Macaca mulatta: one gene and its partners. The protein of the gene in region 1 purifies or fractionates together with the protein of each later gene. This does not show direct contact. Links are inferred from orthologs where the notes say so. Each region holds a gene or a part of one and is shown in the gene's direction. Other genes may lie near its edges. The genes, in order: RPP40, POP4, RPP30 and RPP25.

What was found.
Region 2: the proteins of RPP40 (region 1) and POP4 purify together in Homo sapiens (affinity purification with mass spectrometry; 3 studies listed by BioGRID and IntAct, counting the BioPlex papers as one, with this or other methods). This does not show direct contact. The link is inferred for Macaca mulatta from reciprocal best matches to the Homo sapiens genes RPP40 and POP4.
Region 3: the proteins of RPP40 (region 1) and RPP30 purify together in Homo sapiens (affinity purification with mass spectrometry; 3 studies listed by BioGRID and IntAct, counting the BioPlex papers as one, with this or other methods). This does not show direct contact. The link is inferred for Macaca mulatta from reciprocal best matches to the Homo sapiens genes RPP40 and RPP30.
Region 4: the proteins of RPP40 (region 1) and RPP25 purify together in Homo sapiens (affinity purification with mass spectrometry; 3 studies listed by BioGRID and IntAct, counting the BioPlex papers as one, with this or other methods). This does not show direct contact. The link is inferred for Macaca mulatta from reciprocal best matches to the Homo sapiens genes RPP40 and RPP25.

Annotation. Positions count from the first base shown.
Region 1 is NC_133409.1:178,222,393-178,230,844, forward strand, and holds the start of RPP40 (ribonuclease P protein subunit p40), read left to right. Parts: upstream 1-4,034; 5' UTR 4,035-4,065; coding exon 4,066-4,188; exon of another isoform or gene 4,189-4,258; intron 4,259-5,533; coding exon 5,534-5,678; intron 5,679-6,961; coding exon 6,962-7,030; intron 7,031-7,686; coding exon 7,687-7,782; intron 7,783-8,452. UniProt on the Homo sapiens protein: Component of ribonuclease P, a ribonucleoprotein complex that generates mature tRNA molecules by cleaving their 5'-ends. Also a component of the MRP ribonuclease complex, which cleaves pre-rRNA sequences.
Region 2 is NC_133424.1:40,881,278-40,888,929, forward strand, and holds part of POP4 (ribonuclease P protein subunit p29), read left to right. Parts: intron 1-2,098; coding exon 2,099-2,151; exon of another isoform or gene 2,152-2,186; intron 2,187-3,819; coding exon 3,820-4,046; intron 4,047-5,273; coding exon 5,274-5,351; intron 5,352-5,513; coding exon 5,514-5,575; intron 5,576-7,296; coding exon 7,297-7,398; intron 7,399-7,652. UniProt on the Homo sapiens protein: Component of ribonuclease P, a ribonucleoprotein complex that generates mature tRNA molecules by cleaving their 5'-ends.
Region 3 is NC_133414.1:102,894,534-102,902,820, forward strand, and holds the start of RPP30 (ribonuclease P protein subunit p30), read left to right. Parts: upstream 1-3,519; 5' UTR 3,520-3,532; coding exon 3,533-3,614; intron 3,615-6,405; coding exon 6,406-6,461; intron 6,462-7,100; coding exon 7,101-7,157; intron 7,158-7,565; coding exon 7,566-7,640; intron 7,641-8,287. UniProt on the Homo sapiens protein: Component of ribonuclease P, a ribonucleoprotein complex that generates mature tRNA molecules by cleaving their 5'-ends. Also a component of the MRP ribonuclease complex, which cleaves pre-rRNA sequences.
Region 4 is NC_133412.1:52,905,063-52,911,972, reverse strand, and holds RPP25 (ribonuclease P protein subunit p25), read left to right. Parts: upstream 1-2,760; 5' UTR 2,761-2,830; coding exon 2,831-3,430; 3' UTR 3,431-3,625; downstream 3,626-6,910. UniProt on the Homo sapiens protein: Component of ribonuclease P, a ribonucleoprotein complex that generates mature tRNA molecules by cleaving their 5'-ends. Also a component of the MRP ribonuclease complex, which cleaves pre-rRNA sequences.

The DNA of each region.
Region 1 (8,452 bases):
CAAAAACCTCCTGACCAAAAACAAACAGCCCTGAACCTGTTGGCTTCACTGGTGAATTCTACCAAACCTTTAATGGAGGACACCCATCGTCTTCAAACTCTTTTTAAAAATTGAAGAGAACACTTCCAAACCCAAGTGATGAGGCCAGCCAGCATCATGCTGACACAAAAATCCTAACTCAATATCTGAGAATAACAGCAGAAGTTTTTTTAAAAGTGGAATACATTCACTTATGGTGTCATCAGACGGATATTAAAATTCCAAGGTATCTATTCATGTTCTCTCAGGTGACCACCCAGATATTTGTATTTTTGCCTCAGTTTGGTAAATGGCATGGTTTTTAGTTTTTATAATACAATTTTTTTTTCCCAGCAAAGTCCTTCCCCAACAATGATGCTCACCAAGGCCATGACACCTGCCACACTCTTCTGCACATAAAATGCCCTCAATACCCATGGAACTGGGTTGAACCAGGAACAAAACAAGCAGCAGAGGTTGGTTTGTAAAAAGACAGTAAGTAGGTACCACAGATAAGACTGAAAGCCGAGGCTGGGCGCGGTGGCTCAAGCCTGTAATCCCAGCACTTTGGGAGGCCGAGACGGGCGGATCACGAGGTCAGGAGATGGAGACCATCCTGGCTAACACGGTGAAACCCCATCTCTACTAAAAAATACAAAAAAAAAAAAACTAGCCGGGCGAGGTGGCGGGTGCCTGTAGTCCCAGCTACTCGGGAGGCTGAGGCAGGAGAATGGCGTGAACCCGGGAGGCGGAGCTTGCAGTGAGCTGAGATCCGGCCACTGCACTACAGCCTGGGCGACAGAGTGAGACTCCGTCTCAAAAAAAAAAAAAAAAAGACTGAAAGCCTACAATTCAGCAGTGAACATTTTACATTTATTTGAGAAATTATTTGCAACTAGTTCATCAAAAGATGCTGGTTTAAAGCAGTGGCTTTTCAGCCTTGACCACACAATATAACCACATAGAGAGCTTTAAACAACACCGTTGCCTGGGTCCCACTCCAGGGAATCCAACTTAATAGGTCTGTTGTAACTTGGGTTTTGGGAATTTTAAAAGCTCCCCAGGTGATTTTAATGTGCAGCCATGGATGTGGACCACTGGTTCAGAGTGAGGGATGCATTAGCTGTGTGTGATTTCCATGTGTGCCCCATGGCAGTTCCTCAGTTTGGGGTCTTGGAAACAGCTTTGCCCTGTGAAAATCAAAGGACTGCTTCAATACACAGTCAGCTGTTTGTCTAAATTGCAGCAGGTGGAAATGTCTTCTCAGCAGATCTATCTTTATGTTGCTTGCTTTTCAGAGTAAGAGGTTGTTTCAGGCACCGTTTGATTTAGCTTGCTTTGAAAATCATAAATAGCCTACAAATACTAAAAATGGACGAAAAGAATTTGCAAACATATGGAGTGCACTATATGTGTTTTCAAATTTCCCCTATAATTAGAAATAAAAAATATGAGCCTTGATTTCTAAACTCAGCCCTCAGCTGTTTCCCTAAGTTATTTTAAGTTCTTCCAAGACAGTTCAGCTTTCTCTGGAGGGAATTATACCCAATGGGTATAAGTGAAGAGCCCTAGATGGGCATTTACAGAAGTGTCACTCTCCAGAATCTTGAAGGAATAGGGGAGATGTATGAGTACTGTGGTCTATAGAGGTGTCTGGGCTTTGGAGTCAAGTATAGTAGATACTACTGAGTTACAACCTAGTCAGTAACTTCAAGGTTTTGAATTTGATTTGGAACAATTAGGTAAACCTCATCTGCAAGAAAAGGCATAATGATACTGATTGAAAAAATAAGAACAATTCTTCATACTTCCCTATCTATGACCTTTGCAATGAGATTTTATAGCTGCTCCCATAAACAGACAGAATTTGTTTCCCCAAGTCTTGTATCTGGGCTGGCCTTATTTACTCTGGCCAGCAGAATGCAGAGAGTATGACAGTGTGCTAGTTTCAGGGTTAGGCTCAAAAGATCTTGAATGCTTCTGCTTTTTCTTTCAGAATGCTTTCATCTCCATGAGAACAAGCCCATGTTAGCCTGCTGGAGGAAGGGATACCATAAGCAGGAGAACCAAGGTACCCCAGTTGACAGCCAGCTCACCCCCAGAAGCAGAGCAAAACACACACACACTACACACACCACACACATGGAGCTGAGCTGAGACCAGAGGAATGGCCTAGCTGAGCCCAGCCTAAATTGCTAACCAGCTCAATTATAAGCTAATTAAGTTTTGGGATGGTTTGTTATGCAGCAATAGCTAACTCATACACACACCCATTGCAGATGGGACTCAATGACATGTTGATTACAAGTTACTGGTAAACAGCAGGCCGCCTCTACATTCTGATTTCCTTTTCCCCCTATTAAAGTTGGATCTCTTGGGTTGTACAGAAATGCATATAGATATGTGTGTATGTGACTGGTGCTTCAACTCACACATTTCCCCACTCCAAAGAGGAAACAGACAATCATAGCCTGGCACTCAGGCCCCAAGGCCAAACTGCAAAATAAGAAATTTGCTTTCCCAGATGCAGTGGCTCGTGCCTCTAATCCCAGCACTTTTGGAGGCTGAGGTGGATGATCACTTGAGTCCAGGAGTTCAAGACCAGCCTGGGAAACATAGAGAGACCCAATCTCTACAAAAAATACAAAAATTAGCTGGGTGTGGTGGCACACACCTGTAGTCCCAGATACTCAGGAGGCTAAGGTGGGAAGATCACTTGAACCTGGGAAGCAGAGGTCGCAGTGAACTGAGACTGCACTCCATCCTGAGCTATAGAGTGAGACCCCATCTCCAAAACAGTAACAACAGTGACAGTTTGTTTTTAGTCTATTCCTCCCATATCTAAGGTCTGCAGGTCAAAGCTGTGAATAGATCAGAAGGCATGAGATTTCCCTCTCCTGGGACCCCATCGTCCTTTGATCACTTCCATTTTTCACATATTCTCTTCTTCCGATGTGATTAGGGAATGAGGCCAAGATTAAATTTGAAGCTCTCAGAGACCACAAGCTTTTTCTTTCCAAGGTTTACCAGCACTTTAGTTTCTAACATCGCAAATACTAACTGCAACCCAGTGTGGTGACTCACACCTGTAATCCCAGCACTCTGGGAGGCCAAAGTGGGTGGACTGCCTTCTCTAGTTTGAGAAGCATGTAGTAACATACTTGATTTTGCCCTGAATCAGTAACGTACCGCATGCTGGGAGCCGCAGTCTCTTAACCGCACCAAGCCCGTGACAGAAAAACTAAATGGAAAAATGACTTAGGAGAATTATCACTATAACCCCCAGAAACACCACATCGTTAAAAGCGGTTCTGAAGGCTACTGAAAAGGGAAATCAATAGTAGTTTCAAAGGAGTCCTATTGTAAGGCAAAAATTGTGCTTTACCGTCCCGCACAAACCTCCCTGATGTTTTGGGAAGGGCGGAGGCAAACCTTTAGTCCTGTTGGCCTGTGTTAATAATGGCCAAGAGGTCCCCAGTGGGTAACAGAGTCCTGTGAAGCAAACAGCGTGAGAAGTCAGAAAAGCAGCTGGGTGTGGACCCCCAAAGCACCTTAGGGGGTTACTTAACTGTGCGGCTACATTTCTTGACCACACACTAAAGGAACTGGGCCTTTCCATGCGATGTTTTCCTTTCATATGGGTGGCAGGAAGCGGTCCCTCTGAAGGACCTGACCGAGGTATGTGCCGGCGCCAGGCCGGGGTCCCAGGGGCGCTCCGAGGCGGGGCCCATAGAGGGTTTAGGGCAATTCCGAGGGATGGCGAGGACGGAGGAAAGGTGGCGTTGAAAAGGCAAGAGCCAGGTTCCCAGCGACTGGATATTTCCACTTGAGGCAGTGAATTTACATTTTCAGACATCCACCAGGGAGCTGCCTGCTGCGTGGGGTGTAAGAACGTCTCAGCCGCCCGGCGCCTCCAGCCCTACTCCACCGCCACCAGGGGCGCACAGCGGCGGGTACGCGGCCGGAGGGAAGGGGCGGGGCGGGGCGGGGAAGGGGCGGGGCCTGCCCTGCCAGCGAAGGCCGGGAGGACCAGGAACCCAGGAGCGCATGGCCACGCTGCGCCGGCTTCGGGAGGCGCCGCGGCACTTACTGGTTTGCGAGAAATCCAACTTCGGCAACCACAAGTCGCGCCACCGGCATCTTGTGCAGACGCACTACTATAACTACAGGGTGAGTCCGGTTGTCCTCGGCTTTTCGGGCCGTGCTCAATCGCTGCGTGCGAGAGAGGTTTAGGGAGAGTGCTAGGCTTCGCGGGGCGGGGCCGCCGGCGGTGCGCGGAGGGGCGGGGGCCCTCGCCTGGCTTGCTGGAAGTTGTAGTCTCTTAACTACTGTAGGCCAGTGGTCTGCAGGGCTGCAGGACTACAACTCCCAGGATAGGTAGGGCGTGGGGGCGGCACCCAGTGTGGAGGGAGCTGTGTCCAGGGCGTTCTGGCTGCTCACTCGGGTCAACCCGCCTAACTGGGAGGGGGTCCAGGGAGGGATTCGAGGTTTAGGGCCGGGACCGGAGAGTTACGACGGTGTGACGGCTGCGATGTGTAGCTGCCGGGCAGCCACGTGCACCTCTCTTTTTCCCGAAATCAGGGCGGGTCTCCCGCCTCGTCCCCACCACCGCCTCTCTCCCCAGCTTGGATCTCTCTCCCACCTGCACCACCTGCGTACCTGTGGATTTCTCCGCAGCATTCTGCCTAGGCTCGGCCCAGGAAGCTACCTGATTTTCTAAATTGGTTGTGGGAACTAATGTGATATCTAGAAACTTCAAGAAACCAACCTTATAATGGGGGATTAAACATTTTACACTTTAAATGGTTCAGCTTAATAACTCAGGTTTGACTGAGCAGTGTCTCAGAGATTTAAGTGGTGACCTGATCAGTCAGGACAGGCTAGTGTTTGAGCCTTGGGACAGTGATGACTTTTACAGTGTGGCAACATTTGAAGCCTGTCCTGTTTTTAACACCTATTATGGATGGAAAGCTCATCACAGCAGCCAGGGATGTATACCTTAACTCGCCTGTTGCACTTTTCTCTCTCGAAATTGGAAACATACAGGAGCGCCATTGCTTGCACACAGCTTCTTAGTAATTGGATATCCATAAATTAATTCCTTATGCCCCGGCAGACAGTTCATTTCCTTCCAGGATAACACCAGGGTAAACAAATCAAGGGATATTCAATTATACTGTATTTCCTTGAAAATGGTGAAAGGAATAGGACATAAAATATACAGTATTGCTAATTTGCAAAAGATAAAATGCAAGCAAGAGTTTTCCATTAAAAGTATTCTATTCAGTCCCCTTCCTGTGCTGTACGTTTGAATGCAGAAATGAAAAACTTGAGTAGTCAGATTTCTCTTTGCCTGAGATAGGTAAGTTAACGTGAGAGTTTTGTTGCCTGTGTTTTTATATTCCGGTGAAACTCGTGGAGAAATAACAACTTTCATGATCTTATTTCATTCCTAAAAACCTGGGTGTTCATCTTCATGGAAGTAAGACCTTGTTTGTATTACACATTCCAATAGGTTTCATTTCTCATTCCTGAATGTGGGATACTATCGGAAGAACTGAAAAATCTGGTCATGCAAACTGGACCCTATTACTTTGTGAAGAATTTACCTCTTCATGAATTAATTACACCCGAATTCATCAGTACCTTTATAAAGAAAGGTAAGAAAAACCTGAAATGGCTTTAAACAAGGCAAGATGAGGAAGTGTAGGTAGACCACATCACAATGCTGGGGCTGTTATTTTGTTTTGAACAGGGCCTGTGGGATAGTCTGTGTGGTCAGGTGCACACATGCACTACCCCCCGCCCCCTGTTCTCATCCTGTTCTTTCTTGTGCCCTCTTTAGGTGGTGGTTTCTGATTGCAATTGCCCACAAGTGTTGGATGGGGACGTTGTAACATGAGGGTATCCGTCCCCTTAAAATGAGGATTGATGGAGAGGACAGACTTGCAGTCTGTGTTCAGATGCACTGCTTTCGAGGAAGTGGCTGCGAAGACCCTGTGCTGTGAGCAGCCCCACAGCAGCTGCCTCAGAGGGTTGGTCTCCAGATGCAGCCACAGCTACTGTTCACAGAGCAGAGTGCTCGTTGGGGTCCAGTGTCCTCTGCTTAGATTTTGTAGCCATAACCCCTCTCTGCGCACCCCATTTCCACCCACATCTGCTGGGTTGGACTGGTTTGTTTCAGTTGTTTCCTGGGAGCCGTTTGTTTGAAACTATTTCAAAGGGTATTTAGGGATTCCACCCACATACGTGAGTCACCTGTACAGTGGCCACATGCTTATCTTGTGCTAGCCCCCACATGTGTCCTCTCCAGTGAAGATACGAAGAATTCTAGTTACCAGTAGCTCCTCTCATTCTGACACTGCTGGGGCTACTTACGAGCTGGGCGTCTTGTCAGGTCTCATCACCATTATTCCTTTCATCTATTTTGAGGTCTGACACCACTCTGTCAATTACATGGACACTAGCTGTAGCAGGCACTGTTCAATATCTTACCAAATTTAACCCTTGCAACAATGTTATGAAGCAGGCCTATGATCCTCATTTAACAGGTGAGGAAACTGAGGCTTGGAGAGGTTGAGTAGCTTTTGAATCTTAACCCGGAACTCTGCCTCTAAGATGTGTATGTTTATCTACAATTCTACTTTGTACCCCTCTCCATGCATCCCCAAAGGTCACATTCCATTCTGAGTCAATTTTTTGCTTGATGATAGTACACTTGCACAAATAGGCCCTTGGTCGGGGAGTGAACTAGCTGGAGCTTGGTCTTCTGCATGCTCCAGCTTACCTTTGGCAGATGTTTGGTTTATTGAATGAACTGGAGCAGTGGTAGAAACTGACCTTTAATTACCTGGAAGACAGGTTATCTTGTGAAAATAATCCACTAACATCTTGCAGGTGTAATTTATTCTTTTAAATTTTTCCTCTGGACTTTCTCTTACAGGTTCTTGCTATGCACTAACATGCAATACAAATATTGATGAAGATAATACAGTTGCCCTGCTACCAAATGGTAACGCTTATTTTTTCATCTTTCTTTAATTGTTAAAAAAAAAAATGCCTACTGTAAAAAAAAAAAAAAAAAAAGCCAGGCACGGTGGCTCACGCCTATAATCCCTGCACTTTGGGATGCCAAAGCAGATGGATCACCTGAGGTCAGGAGTTCAAGACCTGCTTGGCCAACATGGTGAAACCCTGCCTCTACTAAAAATACAAAAATTAGCCAGCGTAGTGGCGCATGCCTGTAGTCCCAGCTTGGGAGGCTGAGGCAGGATAATCACTTGAACCCAGGAGGCGGAGGGTGCAGTGAGCCAAGATCGTGCCACTGCACTCCAGCCTGGGTGACAGAGTGAGACTCTGTCTAAAAAAAAAAGAAGAAGATATTCAAAAGAATGAGTATACCATGACTTATTTATTTCATCTTTAGTAGAAATTCAGATTATTTCTAATTTCATTATTATGAATAATATCCTTGGATGTATAATGTATAAATAATATCTGTGTTATAAGACATGTATACATATAAATATTCTTGTCATATAAATAAGATCCTTGTATGCAGTTTGGTACATCAATATCTAACTGCTCAATTTGCTTTGCTTTCTTTTAATCAGACAGCATAAGTTCTATTTTTGGTATCTCTTACGCAAGTTATTATTTGATTTGTAGGGAAATTAATTTTGTCACTGGATAAAGACACTTATGAAGAAACTGGACTTCAGGGTCATCCATCTCAGTTTTCTGGTAGAAAAATTATGAAATTTAGTAAGTATCATGTGTGCTCCATCTGTTTCTAAGAAGTCTGTAATCTTCTTGTGGTAATTTAAATTTAAATGTTTGAATTGCCTCTAATCTCTTTGTTCAGAAAAATGTGGCTTTTTAAAAAAATCTACCAAACTTCTGACTTAAGCTTCATAGAGGATAGGATGATGCTTTTAAGTTCATTTCTTTTCAGCTGTAGATGCGTTTGATAAAGATCGTAGACTTGGACTGGTCAATTAAATATATATGTTTTGGGTTAAACATTCAAAGTAATTTGGGAAGCCTAGGCAGGCGGATCATGAGGGCAAGAGATTGAGACCATCCTGGCCAACATGGAGAAACCCTGTCTCTGCTAAAAATACAAAAATTAGCCGGGCGTCGTGGCAGGCGCCTGTACTCCCAGCTACTCGGGAGGCTGAGGCAGGAGAATCGCTTGAACCCAGGAGGAGGAGGTTGCAGTGAGCCAAGATCACAATCAGTGCACTTCAGCCTGGTGACAGAGTGAGACTCCATCTCAAAAAAAAAAAAAAATTCGAAGTACTGAACCCAAGATAGGAGTCTGCTTATTATAATGAAGAATTTCCTTTGGCTTCCCCAGGTCTTTATGATTACTAGTAGAAATTCACCCAGGAGTGAAGAGATCTTTTGCTGACAGTGTCTGGCTCAAACATCA
Region 2 (7,652 bases), on another chromosome or scaffold:
GCTCGACCTCTGAGCTAGGGAGGGATGTCAGGGCTGGAGTCAGGTTCTCCCGGGGGCTGCTCAGTGGTGTGCGATGCTAGAGGAGGGTTCCAGGCCTTGGCCCAACTTGGCCACTACCTCCCGGGGTGACCGCAGTCAAGACCCTGCTCCTTTCTGCGAGCTGGTTTCACACTCTTATCTGATGCAACGCGCCGAGAGCTGCTGGGGAATGATATCACTAACCCAGAGCTTTGGGACTTAGGGGTAGAAGACATGTGCCAAGGAGGGACGTGTAGTCACCGTTAAGACTGGGCCTTCGATCAGAATTTTGATTTTTCACCTCTGCCACTTTGTACCTATATGATCAAGTAGATTGTCTCAGCATGTCGGAGCTTCAATTTGCTCATGGGCACAAGTGTGATGGGAAAAAATATGTCTACCTTTTAATGAGGTTTCTGGCGAGTAATGAGTGTTCAGTAATTGTTAGATGTGTATTGTTGCAGAAAGACTTCCAAGTCTGTTACTAAGCACCTGTAACAGGTGAAGCAAAGTTATCAGGCCCCTCAAGTTGCTCTCTACAGTTTATAATCCCCAACTTCCGCTTGAGGGAGAACTAGATGCTGTATATAAAACTTGCAGCCACATTGGTTTGCTTGATCAAACATACCTGGCTGGGTGTGGTGGGACACGACTATAGTCCTTTGGGAGGCTGAGGCAGGGAGATCACTTGAGGTCAAGAGTTGAAGACCAGCTTGGGCAGCAACATAGTGAGACCCCATCTCTACAAAACCTGGAAAGAAAAAAAAAAAAAAGCCAGGTGTGGTGGCACACACCTGTGGTCCCAGCTACTCAGGAGACTGAGGTGGGAGGATCACTTGAAACCAGGAGGTCGAAGTTGCAGTGAGCTATGATTGTGCCACTGCACTCCAGCCTGGGCAACAGAGAAAGACCCAATATCAAAACAAACAAGAACGAAAAAAAACTTGTAACCACCTTGCATCAGACATTCTCAGGGAAGTACAAGAGAGCTGGAATTAAATTTACAGAGTATAGTGTAAATTACATTTTCTAGCTATTTAGCTCATAAACCAGGCCTTAGTAGTCCCATTCTTACTCCATTCACACCTGTACTGTGTCTCCAGTGCCATGGTTTTCTTCTTTCAATAAATTAAGAAACAGAAGTGTGGAATTTGTTTTAGAGGTTGAAACTTTATTGACTGATGTATATTTTGAGTTTAAAGGAAGAACTGTTGTATTTCATCAGTTCAGGACACCCTTGATTATATGATACATTATAATTTCATATTAAAATGTGAAGAATCTTTTTAAACATCTTACAGTTAACAAAACCTATTTCTAACCATCTACATCCTAGACAGCTATATCATATAACTTTTAAATGAGTTACCTCGTTAGCAAGGGCTCGGGCTTCTAACTTGGGATACTTTAAACCAGTGCAACTCAAAATGTGATCCCCTGACCTGCAGTAGCATCTGGGAATATGTTAGACACTCAGGATCTAGGGTAGGAGACCAATAATCTGCATTTTAATAAGATCCCAGAGATTTTTCCACACGTTAAATTTTGAGAAGCACTCTTTTTAAACCATGAGCTTGAAACTTCTAGCATAGATGTGGCCAGAGGGTGGGATAAGAGGCATCCAAGAAAGCTTGCTCTTCTTACCAACCTGATCTCCTATCTCTGAATATGAATAAGCATATGTTATAAGTGTAGTTCTTTTACTTTTTTTTTTTGGAGACAGAGTCTCTGTCACCCAGGCTAGAGTGCAATGGCACGATCTCGGCTCATTGCAGCCTCCACCTCCCAGGTTCCAGCGATTCTTTTGCCTCAGTCTCCCATGTAGCTGGGAATACAGGTGTGAGCCACCACCTCCGGCTAATTTTTGTATTTTTAGTAGAGACGGGGTTTCACCACGTTGGCCAAGCTGGTCTCGAACTCCTGACCTTGGGTGATCCACCCGCCTTGGCCTCCCAAAGTGCTAGGACTACAGGTGTGAGCCATGCATCCAGCGGTGTAATTATTTTCATAGTTAGAGAAGTCTTGGGTCTTACAGCCATACCCAACAAGAATTGATCATTTCTTGTTTTTAATCCTCTAGGTGTGATCTATCATGCATTGTCTCAGAAAGAGGCGAAAGACTCTGATGTCCAGGTCAGTTCTTGGCAGGAGGTCCAGGAGCAACACAGGTGATGGCAAAGATGGCTCAGTAGCTTCTGAGCCCCTGTCACTGGTTGAGATGTCGATACCCACATTGTACTCCTCATTTTTCTGGCAGACATCTAAGGCTGGATCAAAGTCTGTAGTTCTGATGACCTGTTCCCACTTGCCGGCCTCCTTTTCTGTTGTGCCAAAGTCACGTTTGGTAAAATGAGGCTTTTCTTAACCTTTTATCATTTCCACTATGTTGGGGACACCAGGCTGTGCCCATGTGGTGAGCAGCATCATTCAACCTTGTCACTGTGCCCTCTGCACTTCTGCAGAAGGTGTGCAATTACATATCATAAGTGAAATTTACAGATTATATCTGGATGCCTCAGCCTGCTTTGTCAGTTTCACAAAAGTTCCTCTTGTAGCTCATAGTGAGAGCATTACCTTGAAAGCAAGATTTTGAAAGACCAGTATGCCTTTATTTTGCTTCTCCATGAAAGACGAGCCACTCAGGTATTTAAGAGAATCAGATTATTGTCCTATTATAGTCACAATGATTAGAGTGAATTAATTTTTAGTTAGCATCTACAGGTGCAAAACTGAACAGAGTTCCCACCATCATACTGTGAGCTCCCTCGAAGACTATGTGTACCCTATCTTCCCATTGCTCTCCCACAGAGGGAGGGCTGGGTTACTAATGACAGATCAGCATCAGTCTGTCAGCCTCAGTCTTAGCATTTGGCACCTGGCTAGTGTAAAAAGCTCAGGAAACAGCCCAGCCAGGAGACAGGCCCTCAGGAGAGAGAACTGCCCAGGGCTGTGGCAGGCGCCAGGGCAGTGGCATCTGCCACCAAATGAGGAATCCATTATTGGAACTCCAACTTGAGAGGTAGTGAGCTTGGAGGTTTTTGTCTGTTTGTTTGAGAATTGCACACAATTATGACAGTCATTTTTTCAGAAGTCCTCTCTAAGAGCCTACGCTCATTCATGGTAAGTTGACGCCCGGCTCTCAGTGACGCCCTTTGGAGAGAGAGAGAGTCTGGGGCCTGAGATGCTCTTGACGGTACTTTCCTCCAAGTGATGGTCTGCGGGGCAGGAGCGGACCTCTTGGAGAGTAGCCCACACCATGCCCACATTGCTGGAAGCCCAGTTAAGGAGTATTGTCCTAAGGGCACAGTGTCAGGGTCCCTACCCCCTGAGGCTTGGCTGACCCTGGAGCCCTAGTTTTGCTGTTTTCTGTAGTGTTAGAATCAGTTCCTCCATAGCTTAGTGCTACTCTGAGCTCACTTAGTTTCATCTGGTCATGCCTGGTTGAATATCTTTGTTACACATTTCTCAAGCTTTCTCTTCTGCCAAGAGTGACTGAAGTATTCTTCCAGATAGAAAGGTTTTAGTCCTCAGCAGAATAACCTCAGAAAAGCAGGGCCAGAGCAGGAAGTGAGCGTTTGACATGCTGTTGTGTGTGACAAACGGTCATGAATTTGTGTATGAGTGTGACTTACATCTCGGCAACTGTGGGTAGCAGACACATGGCAGATGAGCGGGGTGTGAGCCTCAGTGGGTGGAGGGATGGGCCCCATCTGCTCTCCCAGTAGCTGCGGGCGGGATGCCTGGGATCCTGGGCTGCCCAGACCAGAGCAGTGAGCGCTGCACCCCCTTGTCCGCCTGCAGCCTCCAGGAGCACAGCGGGCCGAGGCCTTCGTGAGGGCCTTCCTGAAGCGCAGCACACCCGGCATGAGCCCGCAGGCCCGCGAGGACCAGCTGCAGCGCAAGGCCGTGGTCCTGGAGTACTTCACCCGCCACAAGCGCAAGGAGAAGAAGAAGAAGAAAGCCAAAGGCCTCTCTGCCAGGCAAAGGAGGGAGCTGCGGCTCTTTTATATTAAACCAGAGCAGCAGAGGTAACCTGAGCTCCTCCCTTCTTTCTGCCCGCGGTGCTTACCCTTCTGGGTGTGTGGACTTGACTGAGTCGCTGGGGAGGCAGCCTGGCTCCACCTAAGCTAAGGGCGCCTCTCTGTTGTCTGCCACAAGAGGGCAGCCTTCCTTTACCAATCTGGGCTGTGTTCAGCGAGGCGGGTGAGACAGGACTCATTGTCTGGCCTGCCTCGTCACCTTCACGAGTAAGACCCGTCCAAGTACATCTGTTGCCCATGGCAACAGGCTGTTTGTCCCTCGGCTTTGTTAGACAGAAAAGAGGAACTGATATGTTTTTAGTGTGTATCACTTTGTAGCTTTTAATAGCGCCAGACAGTCACCCACTGGGGTTTCATTGCCAAAGCAAGATGTTGCCCACACGTTTCAGAAGTTTCCCAAAGGAATGCATCACTGTCCTGTCCTGTGGGAGGATGCCTTCCTCCAGCCAACCCTCCATCCCTCCTTGGCGACGGGTCTGAGTGTGTGTGTCCTAGGGCTGTCTGTAGGCTTTTGCTTGGAGATCGACAGCCAAATAGCCTCCCACATTCTAGAAGACGCTTAAAGTATGCCACGCTGTCCCCGGCCCCACTCAGGAGATCAGCTGGGCCTCAGGTGGAGAAGGGGCTGCTGCCTCCCAGGATTTGCTTCCCGGGTGGAACCCCAGTTGGGTTTGAGCTTAAGGTCCTCATTTCTCTAACCTAAGGCTTCATGGTAACGGATTCCCCACAAGGCATGAAGACTGGAGATAACGGCCCAGAGGAAAGCTGTTGGGGTCCTCGCCCCTGCTCCCCTCTTCTTCTCCCCACCACTTGCTTGCCCACCTTCCAGACCAGCCTGCTGCCTCACATGAGGACCTGCGTGACAACCAGCAACCCCTGCTTTATTGGGGGCTTACTAGGTTCAATTTCACGTAACAGAAAACCTCACAATAACAGTAGCTTCAACAAGACTCACGTTTATTTCTCTCTCATGAAAAGAAGTCCAAGTGGACACCGCTCTGGGCTGGTGGGGTCCCACCAATGAGGAAACTGAAGTTAGAGAGGTGAAGGTTCTTGGTCTCTGTTACCAGCTCAATTGCTCATCCTAGGATTTGCACGTAGTTCCTAATGATCCCAGGCCACAGTTGTTGGCATCGAGCCAAGCTCTGTGCTATTTGGACATTGTCATCCCAAGCTCATGTTGTCTAACTTTTTCCGTTTCTGACTCTGCCACAGATACAGTCTTTTCCTCCCTCTCCATGAACTCTGGAAACAGTACATCAAGGACCTGTGCAATGGGCTAAAGCCAGACACGTAAGTTGCATTCCTGAAGCTTCGCTCTTTGGGGTGGATCTCAAGTCTCTGATCATTGTAAATGCAGCTTCAGGAGCCAGCCTGGCTGCGGTTGAAGACCTAGTTGCTTCTTTTGGAACCTTTTATCATGGTGTAAATCAAGGGCTTCTGTTTACCTTGCAGGCAGCCACAGATGATTCAGGCCAAACTGTTAAAGGCAGATCTTCACGGGGCTATTATTTCAGGTAATTTACCTAAGAGCGTGTAGCACATGGCCATCCGGAGGTCCACACTGTCGCTCTGTGGAGACCCAGGGCGTGTGTTCTGTTGGACACGCTCCTTACCGTGTGGATTCCCTGAGATGGGCCCCAGTCACCATCATCCCCGCACTAAGGGTGGGAGATGCTTCTCACTGGCTGTCTTAGCCGGTCTGGCCATTTGCTGGACACACCCTAAGTGGTCTCCGTGTACCTTCCCCTCCGTGTACCTCCCCTCCGTGTACCTACACACAGGGACCCCTGTTGGTACCCTAAAGGGCACAGTAGCTGTGGGCACTCACCCATGGCCTGGAATCTTGAACACAGAATCCCTTTCATCCAATGCTGTGGTTTCAAATGTCAGCTACACCTGACAGTCCCCAAGGTGACGTCTCCAGCGTAGGCCCGTCCCCTGAACTCCAGGCTCAGGCATCCAGCTGCCCACTTGACACAGCCACCTGGATGTTCAGGGGGCATCTCAGACTTTACATAGCCAAAGCTACCCCCAGTTCTCACAGCAACCCCTCCTGCTCTTTTCCATCTCAGTTAATTACTCAGTTATTTATGCTGGTTGTTCAGGCCAAAAACCGAAATAGTGTCTATGTTTCTTCTTTCCTAATTCCCTCCTCTAATCCTTCAGAACATCCTACTACCTAAATTCAGCCACTGTCATTCCCCAGATTACCTCAGACACAGCTCCTCCCCGCACCAGGGAGCCGGAGTGCCGATTATATAGGAATCAGAGCACGTTCCTTCCGTGCTTCAAGTCTTCCGGCAGCGTCCCATCGTATGGGAGTAAACCTGCCTCCTTGCTGTGGTCTAAGGCCTCCCCGCTCCCTGGGGCAGCAGGCCTCCCACACTGCCTTCCTCCCGCCCTGCCTCAGGGCTTCGCCTCTGCTCCTTACCTCTGCCAGGGAGTTCTCCTGTGTGTGCACAGACCGACTTCCGATTGTTCAGCCCTGCTCCAATGCCACTCCCCTGAGGGTCTACCATTGCAAACCATGACCCTCCACACTCATTGCCCTGTCCCTACTCTTCATAGCACTCGTCGCTGTCAGAAAGTAGAATGGTGTGGTTCACCATGCATCACCCTGCCTTGCTAGAACCTGGGCTCCGTGAGAGCAGGATCCGGGACTGCCTCTTTCCATACTATGTCCCTGGCATCTCCCGAGGACAGTGCAGGCATACTGCAGCTGCTTGGTGACTCTGTCACCTACACTGAGGCTTGGGTCAGGACGAGGGAGGGGCTGCTGCTTGTGATGGTGGCTCGTCTCACAGTGCTGGCTGCTGGGCAGCTCTGCAGCAGGACTCACGTTCCAGCCAGCATCCTGGGCAGTGCATGGTGGTGTTTGTGCAGATCCTGCAAGGGAGTCCTGGCTGCATCAGAGCAGCCAGCCCGTGGGTCCTGATGGTGCTGGGCGCATGTGTGACCTTTGACTCCAGAATCCTGCCCAAGACTGCTGTGGCCACAGACTCTCCGAAGGACACCTCATAGGACAGTCCAGAGACTGCAGAGCCCCAGGGGAAGCCTGGGTTCTCGTTGGCTACGTCAGTGCCCAGCTGTTGAGCCCCCACGCCCTGGGTGCTGTCTTCCTTCGTCTGCTAGCTCAGAGGGTGGGACCAGCACCCCGGACCCCTGAGGCCTGCTTGTCTGTGGTTCCCCCAGCACCACAGAGGCCTGAGCCTGGAACTGTCCTTTTTCTTCACAGTGACAAAATCCAAGTGCCCCTCTTATGTGGGTATTACAGGAATCCTTCTACAGGAAACAAAGCACATTTTCAAAATTATCACCAAAGAAGACCGCCTGAAAGGTATGTAGGAGTTTCCGAGCGCGTTGCGTGTGGGCTGTGGCTTCCAGCTGTTGCGTTAGCCTTTTCCTCGGGGCTCCAAGGGTTTGGTTTGAGCGCTGATTGCAGATACTTACTGAACCTGCATTAAAGCCTGCAGAGACCACCGTCTGCTCCCGTGGCGCCCCCAAGAGGCGTGTGTCAGTGCAGCCAGCGGCCCCAGCCAGAAATGGCCAAGCGGAGGAAAGATCTTGGCCGTGCCTCAGGGGACCTGGGTC
Region 3 (8,287 bases), on another chromosome or scaffold:
ACAGCAAAAGAAACTATTATCAGAGTGAACAGGCAACCTACAGAATGGGAGAAAATTTTTGCAGTCTATTCATCTGACAAAGGTCTGATACCCAGAATCCACAAGGAACTTAAACAAATTTATTAGAAAAAACCCCATTAAAAAGTGAGCAAAGGACATGAACAGACACTTCTCAATAGAAGACATTCATGCAGCCAACAAATGTATGGAAAAAAGTTCAACATCATGGATCATTAGAGAAATGCAAATCAAAACCACAGTGAGATACCATCTCATGACAGTCAGAATGGTAATTACTAAAAAGTCAGGAAACAACAGAGGCTGGTGAGGCTGAGGAGAAATAGGAAGGCTTTTACACTGTTGGTGGAGTGTAAATTAGTTCAACCATTGTGGAAGACAATGTGGCGATTCCTCAAAGACCTAGAAGCAGAAATACCATTTGACCCAGCAATCCCATTACTGGATATAAACCCAAAGGAATATAAATCATTCTGTTATAAAGATACATGCACACAAATGTTCATTGCAGCACTCTTCACAATAGCAAAGCCTGAAATCAACCCAAATGCCCATCAATGATAAACTGGATAAATAAAATGTGGTACATATACACCACAGGATACTATGCAGCCATAAAATGTAATGAGATCATGTTCTTTGCAGGGACATGGATGGAGCTGCAAGCTATTATCCTCAGCAAACTAACACAGGAACAGAAAACTAAATACTGTGTGTTCTCACTTGTAAGTGGGAGCTAAGCAATGATAACACATGGACCAGGGAGGGAAACAACACACACTGGGACCTGTTGGGGTTGCAGGGGGAGGAAGAGCATCAGGATAAATAGCTAATGCATGCTGGGCTTAATACCTAAGTGATGGGTTGATAAGACTTTAATAGGCATTTCTCAAAAGAAGTCATACAAATGGCCAACAGGTATATGAAAAAATCAAAAAATCATCAGCCTCACTAATCATAAAGGAAATGCAAATCAAAACCACAATGAGATACCACCTCACTCCAGTTACAATGACTATTATCAAAACAATAAATGAAAATACGTGGTGGTGAGGATGTAGAGAAAAAGGAACACTTACTGTTGGTGGAAATGTAAACTAGTATAGCCATTATGAAAAACAGTAGATGTTCCTAAAAAAATTAAAAATAGAACTCTCATATAACCTGAAAGTTGCACTACTGGGTGTATAATCCAAAGAGAGTGAAATCAGTATGTCAAAGAGATATCTGCACTCCATGTTTACTGCAACGCTATTCACAATAGCCAATATTTGGAATCAACCTCCATGTCTGACAACGAACGAATGGATAAAGAAAATGTAGTATACACATAATGACATACTATTAAGCCATTTAAAAAGTATGAAATCCTGTCATTTGGGATAACATGGATGATACTATCTTCAGTGAAATAAGCTAGACACAGAAGGACAAATACTGTGTAATCCCACTCGTATGTGAAATCTGAAAAAAAATTAATTTGATAGAAGTCTAGAAAGTAAATAGTAGAACAATGGTTAACAGACTAGGGAGGGATTGGGGGAGGGAGGATGGGGAGAGGTTGCTCAACAGGTACAAAGGTAGATAGGACGAATAAGTTCTGATGTTGTATTGCACAGAAGGTGACAATGGTTAACAGTAAGGTATTGTTTATATATCACAAAACAGCTAGAAGAGAGTTTTTTTAATGTTATCACCAAAAATACATGAGGTGATGACTATGCTAATTACCTTGATTTGTTCATTATACAACATATACATATATCAGAACATGAAATTGTACCCTATAAATACGTATAATTACAATGTATCAACTAAAAATGAAAAAATAATTGAACTATCACCTTATTCACCTTCACCACACATTGGTCATATTTCTGACCAATCTAGATTGTTATGGTCATAGGTGAAGATGCCTGTGTGACCCTGCAAAATTAACATTCGACATTCTCATGAAAAACAAAGGGTTTGTTTCATATGACCTTATTCTATTTGCAGAAGTAATACTCTCTTCTACTCCTACTTAGGAAATATCAAGTACTGGAAAAGGCAAAATATCTCTTCTTTACAAAAGTTAACCAAGAGGAGAATTGCATGCTACTGCATGGAGCAGATCCCTCCTGCCTTCTGAGAACGACAAGAAAATCGCATAAAGGAGTACTAATTAAGGTGTGGTCCATAGACGAGAGACTGTCTGTGAACTGTCTGTGATCAATAAATAGAGAAATTGATGGGTGGGGCACGGGAGTGGGCGCGTGTGAATCACAGCTAGGAGAGAGGACTGCTTGCGTTAGAGTCCATCCTGGTCAATAACGAGGTGCTCTCTCTAAAAACAAAACAAAACAACGAAACGAAAACTCAGCAGGCCACCAACCGGGACACTCCCCAGGTCAAATGACCGAGCCTCTAATTCTGTGATTGTTGTTGCTGTGCTCACGTTATTAAAACAAACAAACAGAAAGTGAAGATGTTTAGAACGTTTACAGTACTTTGGCATTGTCCTGATATCCGAGCTCCTGATCAGCAGACTCTATTCAGCCAGGTATAGGGCAGTTCGAGTGCTGTCAAATTTGTGATTCCCATGAGGCCAGGCTGCTTACCGGTGATGCATAAAGGACCACATCCTGGTTCGTGAAGAATTTGGAGGTAGGGGAGAAGGAGGGAGAAACTGGTCCTTTATCACAGGTGGTTTGAGAGCACTGATGTAAACTATCGTCACACTTTTGTAGTATAATTTGCTATTAATCCTCAATAGATCATTTACACTAAGTCGGAAAAAAGTGGAAACATCAGATATGTGGGATATGCGTCACCTTGTACATTTCTCAGCTGGAAAAGTGTAAAACATCTCAATTTTGCACCTCCCTTTTCAAACGTGTCTTTGGCTAAATCAATGTTGGCTGTAACCGCTCGTCCTCGAGCGAGCCCTGCCATCTTGTGGTTGAAGGTGTTGACTGCAACAGAGATTAGCGGTCTTTGACATCAACAGTTCTGATTGGGTAAAAGTACCCTCGTCTTGGGGTAGTTCTCTTTTGATGTCCTAGAGTCAGTCATACACAAATGCCTTCTTCCCGGAAAGTCCATTGTAAACAACGGAATGGACTTTAGGGAAAGGAAAGGAAAACGTGTTCTTTAGGACTCTTTAAATAGCATTCACCTATTAGAAGAATTCTCTGATTCATGAGCAGCGCTACATAGATACCGTGGGCGTGAATGTTGAACGAATTCATTTCTACACTATTTTATAGGAGTACTGAATAGTGGGGAATTGGAACCCCTCCAGGGGGAACCGAACATTGTCATTCAGAAGAAGACAAAGAGGGACTGAAATGAAGCTGTTGATTTCAACACACAAATTCTGGTGGTAGTTGAAGGCAAAGTAAGTTTCTCCGAATCCCTAGTCAACTGGAGGTAGAGACGGACTGCGCAGGTTAACTACAGCTCCCAGCATGCCTGAGGGGCGGGCTCAGCGGCTGCGCAGACTGGCGCGCGCGGGTGGTCATGGGACTTCAGCATGGCGGTGTTTGCAGACTTGGACGTGCGAGCGGGTTCTGACCTGAAGGCTCTGCGCGGACTTGTGGAGACAGCGGCTCACCGTGAGTTGCCCCGGCTTCGCGGGCCGCAGCGCCTGCCCAACCTCATGCCACCCTGACCATCGGGACCCTCTTGGGAGGAACTGTTTCCTGATGAGTCTCTGTCAGGTCTTCCAGAGTCTCTGGGATGTCCCTGGAATGTCCCTGGAGGCTGATGCCCGCCGAGGTGTAGGTCTGATTCCTGGCGCGGAAAACTGAACAAGGTTGTTACCTTGTTCAGCTCCTTTCCTGCAATGAGGGAACGGAGACACCCAACGAGGGCGAGGGATTCGCGTAGGGACCTACAGCTGATAGATGACTGAAACCGGAGCTGGACTCCAAGTGTACAATCTTCTAAGCTTCTAAGTTACTATCAGCCCTTCCTAACTCTCACGACAGTATCTAAACAAATGCTGGAATTTGGGGCACGGACAGGAAGCGCCGTGGAGGCTCAGAGAAGGAGGAGGATGCGGGAGTGTTGGAACAATATTATCCAGACAGAGAGAGGGTAGGTGGGGACATACACGGTGGAGTGGAGGTGGAGGAGGACAGCATGGCCCGAATCGAAGGGAAGCGAAAGCCTTGAGAGACTAGAACCTGTTTTAACTATTGGAGTTAGTCGTGGGTTCTGTATTCCTTAGACTACTGTAAAGTGTGGGGATAGAGATATTAAAAAGAATCAAGAGGTTCGTGCAGTAACATCTGCTCCTCAGAGACAGTTTTCAGCTCATTGTGAGTTCTGATTACTGATACTGTTCAGAGGTGGTGCTAGAAATGACAACCACTTCTTGGCAAAATGAATCACACCATTTTTTAAATTGTCCTCTTTATGAAGTACCCTTGGCGAAATGACTTTGCCTTTCCACTGCTGCCACTAAATGAATGTTATCTCTGTGGTACTTTGCTCATCAGCACGAAGAGGAAAGTAGACAAGATGATCTGGGCCATTTAGCGCTAATGTTCTTTGCTCCTGTAAAATAAATTTTCCTGGGTGTAGCTCGTCGCAATTATTACCTCCTCAATAGGCTTTTCCTGATGCCATCCCATTTTTAAATAAATCATGAGCTTCTTAAGAGAATTGCCATGTCTTATCCTTTTATTTACTGTGCTTAACATATTCACTTTGCAAGCACTAATGCATGGCAGTTACTCAGTTAATGCTTGTGGAATAAACTGAACACATTAAAAAAAATACAAAAAAGAAAAGTTATAATGATTTCTTTAGAGAATTTCCCACAGTTTAAAATACACTTGAAAGAGATGTGGTAATTATGTACATTGTTAGTGGTTATTTTTTTATAAATTAAATGGAATTCATGGCATATGACAAAGTTGCCTCAACTTACAAGTCAGACAAAGGACTGCTATTTGATGAGTCTGGAAATAAATAGTGGACATTTTCAAAGAATAGGGAAGACAGAGCCCTGGTTCTTAGTTTCTGATGTGATATAAGAAACCAATAATAAGCTTCAGAAATACACTGCGTAAATTAAAATACCTTAAAGCCTGATTAGGGAAGTAAGTACTCCTAAGCTGCCAGATGAGGAGTAGTCTAGGAAAAAGTTTTGTGGAGAAACAGATCCTAGTTGACATTTCTGTAGAATGGTAGGGACATTGTTTAGTAGCCAAAAGGATATCCCAAATGGGTATAACAAGGAAGTTTAGAGCAGATTTGGGAGTGTGGTAAAGAAGAATAGGGAGAAGGTGTGACTGGTTGATTTGACTAACTGGGTGCAAGGTGAAGCCCAAGGTACAGGCATACATGTGATTTTTTTGTTTTTAAGGGTGACTTTCTCCAGGGAGGCTTTGTGACCCCTACACCAGGTTTCATTGTGCTATATACTTCCATAGAAAACTTACTTATAAAAAAATGTATTTATATACAATGACTCGCTTAATTGCCTTATTTGCCTTAGTTCTCCAACAGACTGGGCTGTAAATTTCTTGTGGAGAAGGATTGTATTATTTATCCTGTATGCTCAACACCAGTTTAGGGCTTGTCAAGTAATGGATGCTCAGTAAATACTTGAGGGAGGAAGGGAAGAAGGAAGTTGGACAAACTGTTGAGAGTTTGGCATTGATATGTATTTTAATATTAATATCCTTTCATCCCCATTGGTATTTTTAAAAATTAAAGATGAGAATCATGATTTTTAGATTTTTTTTTGGTAGCCCAAAGGTCCAGAACAGTGCTAACTGATGAGGGTAATAAAGCAAGCCCTTGACCTCAAGGAGCTCCCAGTCTGTCGATGGTGTGCAGCTTCAAACGGGAAGTGGGCGGCAGTGGTGTGAGGGAGTTATCACTCCATTTCTCTCTAGGAAAGGAGTCTCTGAAGGAAGTAAAAGGACAAAAAGCAAAAGAATGAGAATAAAAGTGACAGTGATAAAGTAGGAACTTCATGGGATGAAAATGAATACAGGGACATGAAAGAGAATGACAGTTGAAAAGGAGAAGCACAAAGTTAAGAGTCTTTAGTATCATTTTAATAATAATTCATAATGGTTAAACAAAGACCTATGTGCCAGGCACTGTTCTCAAACACCTCGTGTGTATTATTTAAATTTCATGAGAGGTGTATGAAGTAAGTGTTGTTATTTTCACTATTTGACATATGAAGAACCTGAAACTTCACATTAAGTAACTTATAAGTGGTAGTGCGTAGACTTTAAATCAGGCAGACTGACACTAGAGTTCACATTCATAACCACTCCTTAAATGGCCTCCTACTCTTGACATCTAGACTTAGGATGGACCTGTGTTACAGGAAGGAGAGGTTGTTATATTTAACAAAAGTGTTCAATTTTTCTTTTTCAGTTGGCTATTCAGTTGTTGCTATCAATCATATCGTTGACTTTAAGGAAAAGAAACAGGTAAAGTAATATTTCTGAAGTTAATAAGTTCATAAATAGGTATTTTTAATTCTGTTTATATTGGTAATTTGGAAGCTACAGATTAGAATATTTCTTAAGTGCACTCCTTTGTGCACTATTCCTTTTCTATTTTTATATGTTAACAGTTGAACTGATGCATATTTATATAAACAATGAAGATTTTTGTGAGATACTATGATATAGTGTTCAGGATTCCTAAAGTTGATTTGAAATTAAGTTACTTTCACTGTTCAAAAAGTGCATTGTTATTGGCTGGACTGTACTCAAAATATTTAGTCCTTTTTATTTTATTGTCGTGGACTTATTAACTAATTTCTCTCTTAAACATTACTAGTAAGTATGTATATTTCTCTTCAGGCCAACAACTGTATCCTGTAGATTATTTCAGTCTAAAAATTAGTTTTCATTCTTCCTATTCACTGATGTTTACAGTTGCTTCTCTGTTTAGCTTTCTTTTTAAAAATAATTTTAAAAAGTCTTTTTGAATACCAGAAATCACCTTGCTTTCTTTTAAAAATAAATGCGTATTTTTTTTCTGAGAACCCCTCCTAATTTTTCCATTATGCCTTGTGCTATTGATGTATTCAATCTGCGGTAACTATTTATCATTTGTTGTAGGAAATTGAAAAACCAATAGCTGTTTCTGAACTCTTCACAACTTTACCGATTGTACAGGTAGGTGTTTTGTTGCTTAAGAAACATAGTATCTATTTATTCAGTTAAAAGTTACCTAATTATGTGTGTATTCTCTAACTTGAGCTGCACCTTACTCTGAGTACCAGTCTTACATTTTCCTCAAGGCTCAGCTCTTCAGGAAACATTCTTTTACTATCAGTTCAATACTGCTTTGATGATCTTCTTTCCTGAAGTCCTACAACTTTAAAATTATCTCGTTATGTAGTTTAAGATACATACATCCCTTTCTGTGTCTGTATTGTAAATTCATAGAGAACAAGGACTGGGTTTTACTGATCTTCACTATCCCTTATAGCCAGTACCTTTTAATGAGTACTTTCCACTGGTAAACAGGAAAATCAATCGTTGTCTTTTGTGCTTTTTGACATCATGTTTTTTTTTAAATAGGGAAAATCAAGACCAATTAAAATTTTAACTAGATTGACAATTATTGTCTCGGATCCATCTCACTGCAATGTTTTGGTAAGTTAATTAATTTTCTTCTCTCCTTTTGGCCTTGTAAGTTGTATTGATTAATGTTGAACAATGTTGCACTTTGTCTTCCCCCTTTTACATTTTCCCTCGCCCCCCCTAAACCATGACACCTGCCTGCTCTCCTTGTCCTCAGAATTCACACAGTGTAATATGTCTGTTCTATTTACTCATGGCACATATGTAGTGATACCACAATTAAAGAATCCCTTGGCAACTGTTATTCTGAACTCATGTGCACCAGACTTGAGGTGGGTGCTGGGGGGTATTGCCATGAATAATATGAGCACAATCCTTGAACTTAGAAAGCTTAGAGTTTACTTGGCAAGACAAGCACTGAACAAATAATAATTACAAATGTAAGGAATGTTCCAAGGTAAGGAAGTGGTAAATAAAGGATGCTCCGGGAGTATGTAACCTGAGTAAGTTGATATTCAAGCTGGGAGACGGAAGAGTCAGTAAATGTTATATAGGTGACAAGCAGGGAGCTGGTGTTCCCAGATAGGATGGATTATGCATAGGTCCTGAAGCTAAGGAAAACATGGTATTTTCTGGGAAGTGAAACCAAACAATAGGGCTAAGCCTAGCGAGCCAGTTACATGGGATGAGGTTAGAGATATAAACTTGGGTCAGGATTC
Region 4 (6,910 bases), on another chromosome or scaffold:
CCTCATCTCCCGCCCCCACCCTCCGCACCCCTCCGCGGCCAGGAGGGAGCGCACAGCCGGCGGGCTGCGACGCGCGCTGACAGTGTAATGAATGGCTTCAGCTGTAATTAGCGACCCCGCGGCTAATCACGATGTACATTTACATTTTAAGTGCTGCAGAGGGAGCGGGGGAAGAGGAGGGGACCGGCAGGAGGGGATGCGGGCCTTTTCGGCGTTCTCCCTTCACCGACTGTGGAGAGCAGTGAATGCGAGTGTTCTACAGCAGTTTAGGAGGGTGGGGGCGGTGGGGTCATAGAGGGCCAACCTGGCCGGACGCAGAACCGCCCTGTCCTCGCCCTACACAAACCCGAAGCTCCCAGGACTCTTCCTCCAAATGACAGAACTCCGCCTAATCCCTTCCAAGTGATCTTGCTGCCCAAGCTTGCATAGCCCCGGGGACGGAGAGCTCTCTTCTTCCACAACCAGCCCGTTCCAACGTTACTTCCAGCCTTTCGGGGACTTTTTCTCAGGGCCTGACCTTACACAGCCCTCGGCTCTCCACGCCCCGCTACGCGCTGCGGACAGTCTTTGTATCTTCCCAAGGCTGCTGTGCCTCTAGCCCCCACCGCTGTGTGGGGCCCACGGAGACTGGAGCGAGACCGAAGTCCTGGTTCGGAGCATACCCCGAGGGTTCCTGATTCCACCAGGAGACGGGGTCAGCCATTCACACACTGGGGTGCCAAGGTCCAGGCGCCGCAGCCACTCCCAAGAAGTGGTAAGGGGGTAAACCCCGGTTCTGAACAGCAGGGACTGAGAGCTGCTGCTGATGCCCAGGAGGTGAGAACAGCGGGAGGAGACAGAATATAGTCTGGCAGCCTCATCTCCAACTGAGGCCCAGCAATCCTAGGCACCGTCATGCCCCCAGCACTTTTCCGGTTGCCTGCCAGCCCCAGCTCTCTGTGTCCCTCCCCGCCACGCCCCGTCACAGTCCCCTGGCTGGGACCAGATCTGCCGACCTCCCTCAGTCCTGACTGCGTGGGGCCGGTGGAAGGAGGACAGGCGAGGCCCGAGGGCAGTTTTAGGGAGGGTAGGGCCCCTTCTCAGACCCCCTCCCTTCCATCAGTAGTCCTGACAGCCCCAATCTCATCTTTCTCTAATGCTTCTCTCACCCGGCAGGAGACCCCGGGCCTCTCCTTCGGTCCCGAGGAGTTTCCAAAGAGAGGCATCCAGTAGCTCTATAATGCCCCCAGGGCTTCAACTCCCCATCTTCCTCCCTTCTTTCTCTCTTTTATTTTTTTAAAGTCTTTCTTTTTCATTTTTGTGGGTACATAATAGGTGTCTATATTTAGAGGGTACATGAGATGTTTTGATACAGGCATGCAATGCATAATAATCACATCATGGAGAATGGGCTTTCCCTCCCTTCTCTTTCTTTTTTATTTAATTAATTAATTTTTTTTTTTTTTTGAGACATAGTTTTACTCTGTCACCCTGGGTGAAGTGCAGTGGCGTGATCTCGGCTCACTGCAGCCTTCAGCTCCCGGGTTCAAGCGCTTCTCCTGCCTCAGCTTCCTGAGCAGCTGGGATTACAGGCGCGCACCACCACACCCAGCTGATTTTTGTATGTTTAATGGAGACGGGTTTTCACCATGTTGGCCAGGCTGGTCTCGAACTCCTGACCTCAAGTAATCCGCCCGCCTCGGCCTCTCAAAGTGCTGAGATTACAGGTGTGAGACACCGAGCCCGGCCCCTCCCTTCTCTTTCTTAAAACCTGCGTTCACCCAGCCTCCGTTCGAAAAAAGACCCACTGGATCTCAAGGGGCCAAGGTTGCCTGATCGAATTTCGCCTGGGAGGAAAGGGGCGGCCACGTTGGCATGGCATCGTGCCTGGCTCACCCTAAAGCGCGCAGCCCTAAGGGTGGGCTCTCGGGCATAGGTGGAGCGAGCCTACCGCCTTTTCAGAAGAGGTCTCGCCCGCTTCCTCACGCGCCTCGGGGAACAGCTTGGCCCAAAGCCTCACTCCTCACGTCCCAGGGGTGGACGGGGGTCCGGGAGCCTCGAGCTCTAGACAGGCGTGGCGAGGCTGAAGCCTGGGTCTCCCGCGCCCCGCGAGGACCACGCCGCGACGTAGTCGCCCGAGGGGAGGCGCGGAGTGGAGCCGCAGCCAGCTCCTCCCGCACTCTGCTGACCGCGCACTAGCTGTCCTTGAGGCAAGAATACTTGGGAGCGGAAAAAAGGTGGGGGTGTTCCCCAGCGGGGAGAGGAGGGGCGAGGCCCCAGCAAGCCTCTCGGAAATTTCTCCCTGGGAGGGGACGAGGGGCGGCCTTCAACTGCAACGGGGAAGGGCTAGGATACCGGGTTTGAATTGGTGTTTGCACCGCAAGCGCAGCTTTTATTTAGGCTGCCGGTTTGTGAGGGTTGGCTCGGAGAGCGCTGATGGCGATTGTCGTGGAACTTCACCTTCACCTGCCCATGCGCCCCGCAGCGCGCCCGCTCCCACGCCCGCTCCCACGCCCGCGTAGCTGAGGACCCGGACTTGCCACGAAAGGCTGGTGAGGCTGGGGCCCGGGCGGGCCGGGCCGGGCCGGGCCGGGTCAGGGGAGGGGCCTGGCGGCAGGGGCGGGGCCTCAGCTAAAGGCGCGGAGCACCGGGCGCCGAGAGCGCGGAGTAGAGCGGCGCCCGCTCGAGAGAAGTGGGGCCGAGATCGCGCCGTCCCAACCCGCCCGCCGGCGTCCGAGCTGCTTCCGCGCCCTTACCCCTGCGGGCCCTTGCAGGGCGAGACCGGCGGCCATGCAGCCCCGGGGTTGAGGCCGCCCCATGGCAAAGCCGGCGGTCCCGGCGACGACGGCGCATGGAGAACTTCCGTAAGGTGCGCTCCGAAGAGGCGCCAGCGGGGGGCGGGGCCGAGGGGGGCGGCCCGGGCTCTGGCCCCTTCGCAGACCTGGCGCCGGGCGCGGTGCACATGCGGGTCAAGGAAGGCAGCAAGATCCGGAACCTGATGGCCTTCGCCACCGCCAGCATGGCGCAGCCAGCCACGCGCGCCATCGTCTTCAGCGGCTGCGGCCGGGCCACCACCAAAACCGTCACGTGCGCCGAGATCCTCAAGCGCCGCCTGGCGGGCCTGCACCAGGTCACGCGGCTGCGCTACCGGAGCGTGCGCGAGGTGTGGCAGAGCCTCCCGCCTGGGCCCACGCAGGGTCAGACGCCTGGCGAGCCGGTCGCTAGTCTCAGCGTACTTAAGAACGTGCCCAGCCTCGCCATCCTACTTTCCAAGGACGCGCTGGATCCGCGACAGCCCGGCTACCAGCCCCCGAACCCCGATCCTGGTCCGTCGTCCCCGCCAGCCGCGCCAACGTCCAAGAGGAGCCTAGGGGAACCCGCAGCTGGAGAAGGCTCCGCGAAGCGATCGCAACCCGAGCCAGGGGCTGCGGACGAGGATCGGACGGCCTAAAACTCCGGACTGTGGGCGGGATCTTCCGCCAGCGCCTCCACCCTCAAATGCACCTCCAGCCTTTCACTCCTCGGTCCTCCGGAACCCACAACCTGGACACAGCTCCTCAAGGCAGGTAGCATGGACCTTAAGGCGACAAGAGAGGGGCCCCAGAAGTGGCAGGAGAGGATCCCCGACGACCTTAGGGAAACTTCGTGCGATGATTGCTGCTTATGCCCGTGTTGCCTGAAGACACGGAACTTCACCTTCACCTTTTCTGGGACCTTCTTTGGGGGAGAATGGTGGACAGTGGGATTCTGGAAACTTGATTGGGACCCCCAAGGGTTAAAGCCACCCAGCATTCACGAAGGGCACCTGGAGTGCGGAAGCCGAGAAGAGTTATTGGAATCACCCCCACCGTTGACAGAGAAGGCAGGGGGTGAGACTTGACTGCTTGAGGGTAGGAGAGTCTGAGATGTGGGGGTCCTATTCCACTCCCCGCCCTGGGACAGTTTTCCTTTCTAGTTTTCCTTCCCCTGCTTCAGAGGAGCATCTCTGAGGGTTCTAGCTCTTTTAACACCCCTTTTCCCCCTGCTGGCCCAGAGGGAGACCCAGGACTGAACTCTCCAGGCCTCCTCCCCCAGCCCTGCAACTGGAGTCTTGCTTCCAATAAAACAAGCACAAAAATGGCTCTGTCCCCAAATTTTTTTCTAACCACCCGCCTGTGCAGAGACAGCTCTGGCCTGGCCCTTTGTGTCTCCCCTCCCCTCCAGCCTTGCGTCCTGATCCTTTGGAGTCTTCAGGGTCAGGCATAGAGACTGGACAGCTTCAAAATGGTGCAAGGCACTTCCCAGTCCCTGGCTTTTTCCTCTCTCCTCCCCCACTCTGCCCTCCCGGGCTGGCCCTGGCTTCAGGGGCTGTGGCCCATGGGGGGCCCATGCTCCCCTGTACATCACCACTAAGGGAAAGGGAGTGGCACATTGCTTTTCTGGGAGGGAAAGGAAGGAGTGGAAGGAGAGCATGGATGAACTCTCCTGGAGGTCACTGCAAAGGGTGGCAGACCCTGCTGAGGTCCCTGAACCTGCAGCCTCCAGACAATAAACTGAACCTTACCCAGAAGGCTGGCACAAAGCCCCCAGCTCCGTGAGTAGGATCTCCCCTTCGCTGCCCTCTCTCTGAGAAAGGACAGCACACCCTTGGGAAAAGGGGAGGAGAGAGACTGAGCGCAAATCCACTGCTGGAAATTACTATTCAGCAGAGAAGCTGGGACTTGGGCTGTGAATCACTGCAGGCCTCCTGATAAGCTGCTGCCTCCAGCCCTGCACAGCTGTCTGTTGAGAGATAACAGCCTCATAAGCTTCTCTGCCCAACTCTAAGCCAGCTGGGGGGTGGGGGTGGTGCTGTGTGCTGGAAGAGCTCTGGTGAGTTGGGGGTGGGATACAGCCCCAGGATCTCAGAAGTAGATCTCATCCCATGCAACTCAGCAGCACCCCTGGAAAGGGGGAGATGCGGAAGAATGTATTTATAAGTCATTTTGCTGGCAGAACCCTGAAATAAATCCTGCTGGTGACAAGAGATACGTTCTGTGGCTGACTGGAGGGGCTCTTTAGGGAGGTTTCCCTCTCCTGCAGTTATCTCTGCTTGAGCTTTGGATCAGTGAGCTTTGTCATCCAGACTTTTTCCCTCGTTGCTCTCCCCAAATTCCTGCTCTTGATGAGTCCCTGGAGAGGGCCAAGGGGTTTGGTTGTGCTTGTCTGACCCTCTCAGGGGTGGCCCAGGAAGCATGGAAAGAATGTAAACTGTCCTGACAAGATGCCCTAGCTTCTCCTGGACTTCAGCATCTAAAGGCAGTGATAAAACTTGGACAAGGTCCTGCATGGTAGAAGCTTAAGGGAGACTGGTCTTGGTTCTAAAAAGGGGCCAACTTTCCAAGACCACTAGTGACTGATTGCTGGGTTACCAGGACTATGAAAGCAGTGCCTGAGGCCGGGCGTGGTGGTTCATGCCTGTAATCCTGTAATCCCAGCACTTTGGGAGGCCAAGGCGGGTGAATCATGAGGTCAGGAGTTTGAGACCAACCTGGCCAACATGGTGAAACCCCATCTCTACTCTAAATACAAAAAATTAGCCAGGCGTGGTGGTGGACACCTAATCCCAGCTATTCAGGAGGCTAAGGCAGGAGAATCACTTGAACCGGGGGGTGGAGGTTGCAGTGAGCCGAGATGGCCCCACTGCACTCCAGCCTGGGCGACAGTGCAAGACTCCGTCTCGAAAAAAAAAAAGAAAGCAGGGCCTGCTAGTCTTGTTACGGAGATAAGGCTGCAATGGATTTCTTTTTTTATTTTTATTTTTTGTTGAGACAGAGTCTCACTCTGTCCCGCGGGCTGGAGTGCAGTAGCTCAATCTCTGCTCACTATAAGCTCTGCCTCCCAGGTTCAAGTGATTCTCCTGCCTCAGCCTCCCGAGTAGCTGGGATTACAGGCATGCACCACCACACTCAGCTAATTTTTGTATTTTTAGTAGAGACGGGGTCTCACCATGTTGGCCAGGCTGGTCTCAAACACCTGACCTCTGGTGATCCACCCACCTAGTGCTGGGATTACAGGTGTGAGCCACCATGCCCAGCCTTTTTATTTATTTATTTATTTATTTATTTAATATTTTTTTTATTTTTTGAGAAGGAATCTCGCTCTGTCACCAGGCTGGAGTGCAGTGGTGCAATCTCAGCTCTCCTGGGTTTAAGCGATTCTCCTGCTTCAGCCTCCGGAGTAGCTGGAATTACAGGTGTGGACTACCATGCCCGGCTAATTTTTTTATTAGTAGAGATGGGGATTCACCATGTTGGCCAGGCTGGTCTCGAACTCCTGAACTCAGGTGATCCACCCGCCTCAGCCTCCCAACGTGCTGGGATTACAAGCGTGAGTCACTGCACCCGACCTCTTTTTATTTTTTTATTTTATTTTGAGACAGTCTCACTCTGTCGCCCAGGCTGGAGTACAGTGGCACAATCTTGGCTCACTGCCAACTCTGCCTCCCAGGTTCAAATAATCCTCCTGCCTTAGCCTCCTGAATAGCTGGGATTACAGGTGTGGGCAACCATGAGCAGCTAATTTTTGTATTTTTATTAGAGACGGGGTTTCACCATGTTGGCCAGGCTGGTCTTGAACTTCTGGCCTCAAGTGATCCACCTGCCTCAGCCTCCCAAAGTGCTGGGATTACAGGGGTGAGCCACCACCCCCAGCCTGCAGCGTATTTCTCTTGATGAGACGGAAAAGTTCCCTTCCAGCCCAGAAACCTATCCTGGGGGATAGAGAAGAGAGGAACATGTTTATCCAGCATCAAAGCATTAATCTTCCCCCAAGCAGGTAACGAAACACTTTCTTTTCTGCACCCCCGTGACACCCCAGCAAGTTTGGTTCCGAAGCTTTCAGTAGGTGCGCTGTAGGTCCGAAGCTTTGGTTCCAAAAGTAGGTGCGCTGACTCACCAATGGGACCCAGCAT